Linked DNA regions of Nothobranchius furzeri. The protein of the gene in region 2 interacts with the protein of the main gene of each other region in a pairwise test. Links are inferred from orthologs where the notes say so. Each region holds a gene or a part of one and is shown on either strand. Other genes may lie near its edges.

What was found.
Region 1: the proteins of tax1bp1b (region 2) and plekhn1 interact in binary tests that used the Homo sapiens proteins (3 or more experiments, as listed by UniProt). The two-hybrid records come from large-scale screens. The link is inferred for Nothobranchius furzeri from reciprocal best matches to the Homo sapiens genes TAX1BP1 and PLEKHN1.

The regions. Positions count from the first base shown.
Region 1 is NC_091755.1:28,957,435-28,962,385, forward strand, and holds part of plekhn1 (probable pleckstrin homology domain-containing family N member 1), read left to right. Parts: intron 1-573; coding exon 574-654; intron 655-1,124; coding exon 1,125-1,215; intron 1,216-2,773; coding exon 2,774-2,907; intron 2,908-3,197; coding exon 3,198-3,347; intron 3,348-4,358; coding exon 4,359-4,439; intron 4,440-4,510; coding exon 4,511-4,586; intron 4,587-4,792; coding exon 4,793-4,938; intron 4,939-4,951. UniProt on the Homo sapiens protein: Controls the stability of the leptin mRNA harboring an AU-rich element (ARE) in its 3' UTR, in cooperation with the RNA stabilizer ELAVL1.
Region 2 is NC_091757.1:59,004,460-59,009,410, forward strand, and holds part of tax1bp1b (tax1-binding protein 1 homolog B), read right to left. Parts: intron 1,051-4,951; coding exon 978-1,050; intron 744-977; coding exon 625-743; intron 539-624; coding exon 413-538; intron 1-412.

The DNA.
Region 1 (4,951 bases), on a different chromosome or scaffold from region 2:
ACACCTCATGATCTGTGCATACCCCGATAGGTACAAATCTTTAAAAAACATTGAGAAGTAACAGGATGTTGCTGTGCAGCTTTTGAAAACATGCTGCAACCCATGTTCATTTTGACACAGTGGCTGGCTGTGAATAATCCAAGCAGTTTCCTATAAAAAGCTGAGCAGCCTGTGTTTGGGCACGCTTCCTCCTGCTGCGGTTGTGAAACATCTCCCAGCAGAGAACCTCGGGGGAGAGAGAGAGTTGCTCTGATCCCACGGGCTGATACAGGACATGCCGGCTGCTTGTGGTGGGGAGTTGCAGTGTTTCAGAGCTGCGGCACAACAGCTCTGTCAGAGAGCAGGGAGAAAAGATTGATGAAAGGAATAACGTCATGATGGCGAGAGAGAACACTGTGTTTTTAACATAAAATAAACTGCATAGAAGGTGTTTGGTCTTTTAGGGAGGAACATTTCTATGAATCATCAGATTAACTGATAAATCTGATTCCTGTTGGGGAGAATCCTGATCAGTACTCGTTAAATATTAATTCCCATTAAACCAGGACACGTTTTTTCTTAATTTCTCTACAGGATATTCATGACTGCTACCTGGATCTCTTCCAAACACACCTTCATTTTGTCTCAAACAACACCACTGGACTAACATACCAGGTACTTTCCATCCCTCCGATCCACGCTATTTTAGGAGCTCTTTCATGAGTTTTATAGGTTTCGTATCATGTAATCTTTTGTAATCCTAATTTTTGACTCGCATCCCGCCTACCAGAACTTTTATTTGGTGCACAGAAAGTATGATTAAGTTTCGTCAGCTGTCTCGTAACCTTTTAGAAGTGCCGTTAATCATCATTTCACTGCTCTCCAGAGCTCAGCTTCATGTTAAAAAGAGACAACGAAGCACCTGTGTGTTAGTCAGACTTCAGATTACCTCAAAACTAAGACAGACAGGGATACATCACTGATTTATGAGTCCTTGTCAAACTCGCTTGTTTTGTTTTTGGTGAACACAACTCTAGAGTTCAATCTTCATTTTAAACGCTAAGAGAGAGGATTGATGCGAATAAGTTCTAAATTTGTAAATATTCCCATCTTAAAAAGTGTAAATTGATTTTTTTTCCCCACAGGGGACTCTTCCACTGAAAGAGCTCACCATCTCCAACCTGCAGCAGAACTGCAACCACAGCCAACCTCAGGAATATGCCTTCCAAATAAACGGTGAGAAAAAATAAATCATGCACACAAAAACTGTGTGGGTGTTGGCGCACAGCGCTGGTATTTTATAATTGTCAGTTTTGTTTTATTGGCTCTGCTGAGTTTGTATAATCAGTCTTTCCGAATAAAAATCCAGAGTGTCTATGTCGGGGTCTGATTTAAACAGCCAAAGCTGGATGACTGTGGGCGCGGAGGCTGAATTCTCCTTCTGTAATAAGTATAAGTGTCATTGTTTTGTAGCCATTGATGGTGTGTCTAATCTGTCATTAGTTAAAGTAAAAAAAAAATCTATTAAAAATGCCACACTATTTCACGGTTTTGGCATTTCCTGCTTGTGTTATCACGTTTCAACGACCCTCTTCACCTTTTCACCTCCCGTCTGACCCAAGACCGACTAAAGCCGGGCCTCCGTCCCCTCCGGTCGGGGGGTAAACTAGCTTTTAAAAGCTTGTTAGACAACAGGTGCATCTCTGCGAACCCAGCTGTCGCATAGAAAAGCCCGGCTATCGCTCTTCGTCTCGTCAAAGAGTATAATCCATGGTACATTCAACAGATCTGGTCTGTGTCCTTTATGAATGAAAAAAAGTTTTTGATCTTTAACTTAATTGAACAAATCCCCATATTTCTTTATTAAATATTAAAAGCTTTAAACTGAATCCAGAACTGTGTACAAATAACTCCTGTTTATCTTTACATTCCCGCTGAAGTCCCTGCTGTCACAACGTTGGCCCTCATTGGTGTTCCTTTGTTGGGATTTGTGTTTGCGAGGTTCCCAGCTCTACTTTGTTAGTTTTTGGCTTCACGTTTCCTCTTTTCCTATTCAAATACGAAGTCTCATTTGCCTTTTGGGAGGCATCACTGACAGGAAGTTGAATAAAAATCTGAGTCAAATGGAAGATATGTAGTGGATGTTTCCCCTCTGAGATGAGTGGTGGTGAGTTAGATGGTGACGAAGCACACACGATTCAAGAGGATGTTCGAGAATTCCCGGAAGCTCCCACATAATCTAGATAAACGTGGTTGTAAACGTAGGTTAATAATGAATAATTGCTTTTAACAATAGCTTGTGGCCCCTGTGAACTAACTGGAGGTTTAAATGAGTTTTCATTGGCTGGATTTCTACTGAGAAAACTAAACTTTTTAAGGAGTGAAAGAATTTATAGGAATGGTTACGGGCACGGTCCCTAATGAGGATCTGGCCTGAAAAACGGAGAAGTCAACATTTGGGCTTCGGTAGATTATTAGAGTACAAAGCCATAAACTGGAATGAAATCAAATGCTGGTTATCTTTGGTATGTGTGGGACTGATGGGTGGAGGGAGATTGCAGCTCTCATCATCCCGACTCCGTCTATTCCCTCTGATCTGTTTGCTATGAGGCCGCAGGTCAGTGAGGGATCCACATCTGGTTTACTGTTCTGAACATGTGTTAGCATTTATTGCACTTGTTGCGTAACATGGTGTAAACAAATAAACTCTGTGCTAACATAACAGAAAAGATTTTTTAAAAAGACAGATAACGACTCTTTCTCTGCATGCCTTTGTAACCTTTGAACCCTGCAGGTGTCAGCTTGAATCCCATCATTGTCTACTACGGCAGCCAGGAGGAGATGGACCTGTGGTTCAGCCTGCTCACAGAAAACATCGAGGTGAACGGAGGTTCTGCTACCACGCCTGAAACCTGCACCAGAGTGAGAGTAAGTCTAATGAGAGCTGTCTAATTTCTTTTTGTGTTTGCCACACCGGGATCAATTCAAACATCTCATTTCAAAACTCGATCGCATGTTTGATTCCGCCTGGCACATTAGCCTCATTTCCAGCCGCTCCTGATAAAACAGGATGTGTGACTGTGTAAATACAGTGAGTAATGATCACTGCGTGCTTCTGCCTGAATGCTAGGGAGAGATCTGGACCACATCATAACACATATTTCTGTTCATCTGGCGGTGATACTGTCTAACTTCTGTGATCTGATGTGTATCTACAGATGAACCAGAGCAAAGGTCACATTGGAAGAGTGGACCTGAGGAAGTCTATCAACAGAGAGCCCATCTATGAGTGGGAGGGCTCTCAGCGGGACAGCTTGGGCCCCATCACCTACGTCACCAAAGTCCGACTGCAGCACCTGCCCTGTCAGGTATGACGTCACAGCTGCTTCTCTCACCACCCCCAGACCTCTTACCAAACTTTGGAAACCCACAGCGTAACAGGCTGTCACTCATAATGCTAATGTGTTTTCAAAGCCGTGGGAACTTTTTCTCACGATAAATAAAAAGCAGGATAATATCAGTGCTCTAAATCCAGGTGACTCACATGGTTTTTCACATTGTGCAATGCATTACCTCAACACAGTGCAAGGAGAGAAAAGGGTGGTGTCCATGTTTTATAGCAAATTACTCTCTTCCGGTTGTTTATCTATACAGCGTGTTTTATTCTCACGTTGCACCACAGAGTCAGAGATGCATAAACCAACTGAGTGAAATATTCAACCCCATCGAATGAAATCAAGCAAGATCCCTGTGAATGATGCCAAAACAAGCCGTTAATCAACACTGTAATCATGACATGCCTTTGCAGGGATATCTGTTAATTCTTTATGAGAAGCAGCGGCATATCTATTGATGTGATTTAGTGCCTTGGGCGTGTGAGAGGCATTCGCTCGGCTCACACAGCGACTCAACTCACCTCACGGCTGGAATGTCAGCTGTCTGTTCAGACACACCCCACAAGAGAGAAGAAACATAAACTCTGGATCTGCTGCACCTTCAAAAGTCTCACAAACTGGTTCGACCTCTGCGGGGTTTAAAGCGTGCCTCTCAACGCAGAATTAAAAGATAAATCCTGTGCTTTTTTAAAAACTCGCTCCGGGTCTCATGGTTCACTCTGTGCCTTGTCTTGTGGTTTTATCTTTCCCTGAAGTTATCAGGGCTCACTTTCTTTTCCATGAAAGGTACTTAGGTACCGTTTATCTTTGGAGTTGGCCTCAGAGTAAAAACAACTGATAACAGTGTTCAGGTTGAGAAACACTTTTAGAAAACTGGAATTACGTGTACTTTAGAGTTTTATACTTGATAATAAAAATAAAAAAAATCACAGAATGGTGTGTTATCTAAAACGTGTACATGCTGTCATCATCTTACATGTTCAGGAGAAGAGTGACAGATTGCTGGTGATGTACCCATCCACCCTGATCATCCTATCAGAGGAAAGCGACAGGCTCTTCTATAAGGTGCAGCAGACCGTCCTTTACTGTCAAACCTGGATTATGTGAGTAGTATTAAAGATTTACTCTGATTACAGGGCAAACTTCCACTCAACATGATTACCGTCACCACTCCCTGTCAGGACGTCAAGCCCAACACCTTTAAGATTGAAGGTAAGAACAGTGAATCACGTTTTCTTCTGAAAACACTCAATAAGAAGCACACACTCCCAAGTGCCTTTGAGTGACCTCCCTCTTGGAACTGCTGCCGTCATAGAACGAAGCCCCTCTATGAATGGGAGGGTTTTATCCTTACTAAAGCACATTCCAGCGAGCAAGCAGACCAAATGACACCCTTTGTTTACCCCCCCCCCCCCCAGGCAAAATGATCAACCCCATAGTGGTGTCCTGTCTGGATAGGACCGAGTTCTGTGACTGGATCCAGCATTTCAAAGCTGCTGACGTGCCTGTTGTCAGCCCCCCGCCCCCGGTGTATGACATCATCTACACCCCTACGAACACAGAGGTGAGGGCTGTTC
Region 2 (4,951 bases):
CTGATCCCAGCCATAAACGGCTTCCTTTTAGCAAAAGTCTGATTTATGCACAATACGGCTCAAAGCAAAACAACCTGTTTGAATTCCTGCTGAGACATTAAGCAAATATCCGCCTGACCTGAGCCAAGCCCAGCATTAGCTGCACATCTAGAGAGGACTCCTCCAAGCCGAGCTTTACTCGTCTCCAGTCTGACATAAACAGCAGTAAAAGGTCAACATGCAGACAGGCCTGCTCATAAACAACACTGTCAGAGTAGCTGTGTTCAAGAGGAGATAGCATCAAAGTCCCCATCCCTGAGCTAGAGCAGCCCTACTCGCTGGTAAAAACACTCAGACAGAGCTGCTTTGAAGATACCAGAACGTTGCCATCAGCCTGAGCTAAGCTAAGCGTCAGCACACCGGCTGCTCCCACCTTGTAACGATCTTCTGCTTCTGCCAGCTGCAGCTTCAGATTCTCATTAGTCTTCAGCTGCTCCTTGAACTTCAGCTCCAACTTGGCCAATTCATCAGCAAACATGCCACTACGCTCCTTTTCCTCCTACAGAAGGACAGGCGTTGAGCGTTTAGTTTGACACATTTTCACTCTGAACTAAATGAACAAAAATCTATTTTTTAAAGTCTTACAAACAGCATCTGCTTGCACTTTCTGTACTTGTCATTCCTGTCAGAAGCCTCTCTGCTGATCCCCTTTAGCTTCTCCTGGATGATAGCTTCCAACATGGGATCAGCCGAACCTGGACTGCCTGTAAAATCAGGCGTAAACAGCTGAAGCAGCCACATTATGTTCAGTTTCTCAATTAAAACATTTCATAAGTGATTTTAAATAAACAAAATCTGTGAAAATACCAAACATAACAAACTCAGCGAATAGCAACCCAAATTATCGTTATTATAATTCTGAGGCTTTTAGGTAACTCTCACAGATGCTCGGATCTGAAATTGATAATTCATTCCTGATGATCAGACTGAGCTGATACCTGGCACGGATGTGTCTGGACTTCCTGATGCTGGCACTGCCGTGGTCACTGGTGCTGCACTTCTCTTCAGGTCCTGCCCAAAAAACAAAACAGCAGCAAAAGAGAAAAGACATCAAAATCACTTAGAACATATAGAATTCTTCAGAAAACAGAGGACGGCTGGAGCCCTCAAAGTGAGAAAAAAAGTTTTAATGGATGCAAACGAGATACTAACATTTCGACACTTATTTGGTCTTCATCAGAGTAACATCAGAGTTGGTTACTCTGATGTTACCCTGATGTTACGCCGATGTTACTCTGATGTTACCCTGATGTTACGCTGATGTTACCCTGACGTTACCCCAACGTTACCCCGATGTTACTCTGACATTACTCCGATGTTATCTGATGTAACCTGATGTTACTCTGATGTTACCCTGATGTTACTCTGATGTTACCCTGATGTTACCCTGACATTACTCCGATGTTACCCCACCGTTACTCTGACGTTACTCTGAAGTTACCTGATGCTACCATGATGTTACCCTGATGTTACTCCGATGTTACCTGATGTTACTTGATGTTACCTGATGTAACAATGATATTACTTTGATGTTACCTGAAGTTACTCTGATGTTACTCTGTTATTTGATGTTACTCTGAAGTTACCCTGACGTTACCCCGACGTTACTCTGACATTACTCCGATGTTATCTGATGTAACCTGATGTTAATCTGTTGTTACTCTGATGTTACTCTGATATTGCCAGATGTTACTCTGTTACTCGATGTTACTCTGATGTTACTCTGATGTTATCTGATGTTAACTGATGTTACCCTGATGTTACTCTGATTTTACCCTGATGTTACGCTGATGGAGGGTTGTCACAGTGTGAAAATTTTACCTCACGGTTATTGTGACCAAAAGTATCATGGTTTTCGGTATTATTGTGGTATTTTTTTAAACATGTTACATTTTCAGATAACTACATAAACCCTGTATATCAGGAAAATATTGTCCTCAGTTTGTGTCTAAATTTTGCCTAAAATGTGTTATTTTGTAATTATGTTATTTGTTTACATTTTTCCCCTTTAGTCTTTAAAATACCAATATTTGCCCATAACTTCTTATTTGTTGTCTGTTTGATGTCATCATTTTAAAAATATTAGACCAGATGATACTCAGTACTCAAGCAGCCTTCTAATCAGATACTTTTTTACCCTTACTTGAGTAATAAACCCTATATCAGGAAAATATTGTCCTCGGTTTGTGTCCTTCCAGTGAGCTTTGCAGATGTGGGAAAATGTCATCAGGCGGTAATCATTGTTAAATTCATAATTATTCTTGGAGAGAGACCAACTCTTATCTGCCCCTGGGAGCCCCGTAATGCATAGCGTCATTTCAACATGGGGGTGTCCGTGACACGGTTTATATGCAGGTAGCGGCGCTGCGGCTGCTTTATATAGCGACTTGTTGCATTCTCCCTCAACCCAAATCCTCGGATCAGGCATTTTAGCTAAAACGCTAACGTTAACTTGCCTCGCGTTGACTGTAGAGTTGTGGGTGATGGTCACGCAGATGTGTCATGAGATTTGAAGCGTTCCTGCCTTTCACAAACACTTTTTCTGCACGTGCTGCAAAAAGGATAGCCGTCTTCTATAAACTGTCCCTCGGCATTCTTCAAATATCCAAAAAATGCCCGTACTTCCCACTTTGTCTTCTTTAAAGGATAATAAATGTCCTGAACGCTGCCGTCTCCTCCTTTGGCCATTATTTCAGCTTTAGCTTCAAGAAGGTTTTGGTTGTAAACAACAAAGCGCGCATGTGCCGCCAGCAACTTCAGCAGATGATACGGTGGCTGGTAAGGGTCACCGCGCCTACACCTCAGCCGCGGTAAACCCACCGAGATAATATAGTTTTTTAAAAACAAGACGTTATTATTATTGTCAACTTTTTTACCGGGGTTTACCGCTACACCGATTACCGTGACAACCCTACTCTGATGTTACCCTGATGTTACGCTGATGTTACCCCGACGTTACTCTGACGTTACTGTGAAGTTACCTGATGTTACTCTGATGTTACTCTGATGTTACCCTGATGTTACCCTGATGTTACTCCGATGTTACCTGATGTTACTCTGATGTTACCTAATGTTACTCTGATATTACTCGGATGCAACCTGATGTTACTCTGATGTTACTCCGATGTTATCTGATGTTACTCTGATGTTGCCTCATGTTACCTGATGTTACCCTGATGTTACTCTCATGTAACTCTGATGTTACCTTGATGTTACTCTGATGTTACCCTGATGTTACCTGATGTTACCCTGGTGTTACCGTGATGTTACTCTGATGTTACCCTGACGTTACCCCGATGTTACTCTGACATTACTCCGATGTTATGTGATGTTACTCTGATGTTACCCCGACATTACTCAGACATTACTGTGAAGTTACCTGATGTTACCCTGATGTTACTCTGATGTTACCCTGATGTAACTCCGATGTTATCTGATGTTACTCCGATGTTACCCTGATGTTACCTAATGTTACTCTGATATTACTCTGATGTAACATGATGTTACTCTGATATTACCCCGAAGTTATCTGATGTTACTCTGTTACCTGATGTTACTCTGATGTTACCTGATGTTACTCTGATGTTACCTGATGTTGCCCTCATGTTACCTGATGTTACTCTCATGTAACTCTGATGTTAACTTGATGTTACTCTGATGTTACCTGATGTTACTCTGATGTTACCCTGACGTTACCCTAACGTTACCCCGATGTTACTCTGACATTACTCTGATGTTATCTGATGTAACCTGATGTTACCGTGACGTTACTCTGATGTTACCAGATGTAACCCCCAAATTCCACTACCTCCGCTCCGCTGCGCTCCGCTCCGACACGAAAGCCGGAGCAACATCGGTCCCGTTGTAGTCAATCAGAGCAATTCCACTACTGCGGCCGTGCTCCGGCAGTGCGGCGCCGTGCGCCGCCCTCTGTTCCGGCGTCCGGCAAAAATAGAATCGATCCTATTTTTGCCGGACGCCGAAGCACCTCCGCAGTAAATGGACAGAAATCACAACCGTCCAACAGGAAAAGGAGCAAGCACAATTTCCGTTTTTCACAATACATCGATAAACAAAAGGCGTTTTTTGTTTCATATGCACAGGTTTAACAACTTTTAACAACTATCAGTGGCGGCTGAAGTTTAAATGCACAAAAGTAAGCCATAAATACAGTTTCCACTATCAAAGTAGTCACACTTTGTTGATCCAAACACTGCTGATCTCTCAACACAAATGATGGGCAGATTAAACAGTTCATTTCGATGCTTCTCCCAAACAACGGGTGTTTGGATCTAACTTCCGCGTTTATTGCTCGGACTGTATCGCAAGATCTCGAAAATCCTGCGCATGCTTATTTGCCCACCTCAGGTCTCCGCACCGGAGCGGAGCCGTTGTAGAGCGGGTAGCAGTAAAAATTGAGTTCGGAAGCGAGCGGCTGCGGAGGGCGGGGGCGGAGGTAGTGGAATTTGGGGGTTACTCTGTCACCTGATGTTACTCTGTTACCCAAATAATACCCTGATGTTACTCTGATGTGACCCTGACGTTACTCCGATGTTACCCTGACGTTACTCTGATGTTACCCTGATGTTTTTGATGTTACTCTGATGTTACTCCGATGTTATCTGATGTTACCTGATGTTACTCTGATGTTACCCTGATGTTACCCTGATGTTACTTGATGTTAGCTGATGTAACACTGATATTACTCTGTTACCTGATGTTACCTGAAGTTACTCTGATGTTACTTTGATGTTATCTGATGTTACCCTTATGTTACTCTGATGTTGCCCTGACGTTACCCCGATGTTACTCTGACGTTACTCCGATGTTACCCTGATGTTACTCTGATATTACCAGATGTTACTCCGATGTTACCCTGATGTTACCCTGATATTACTCTGATGTTACTCAA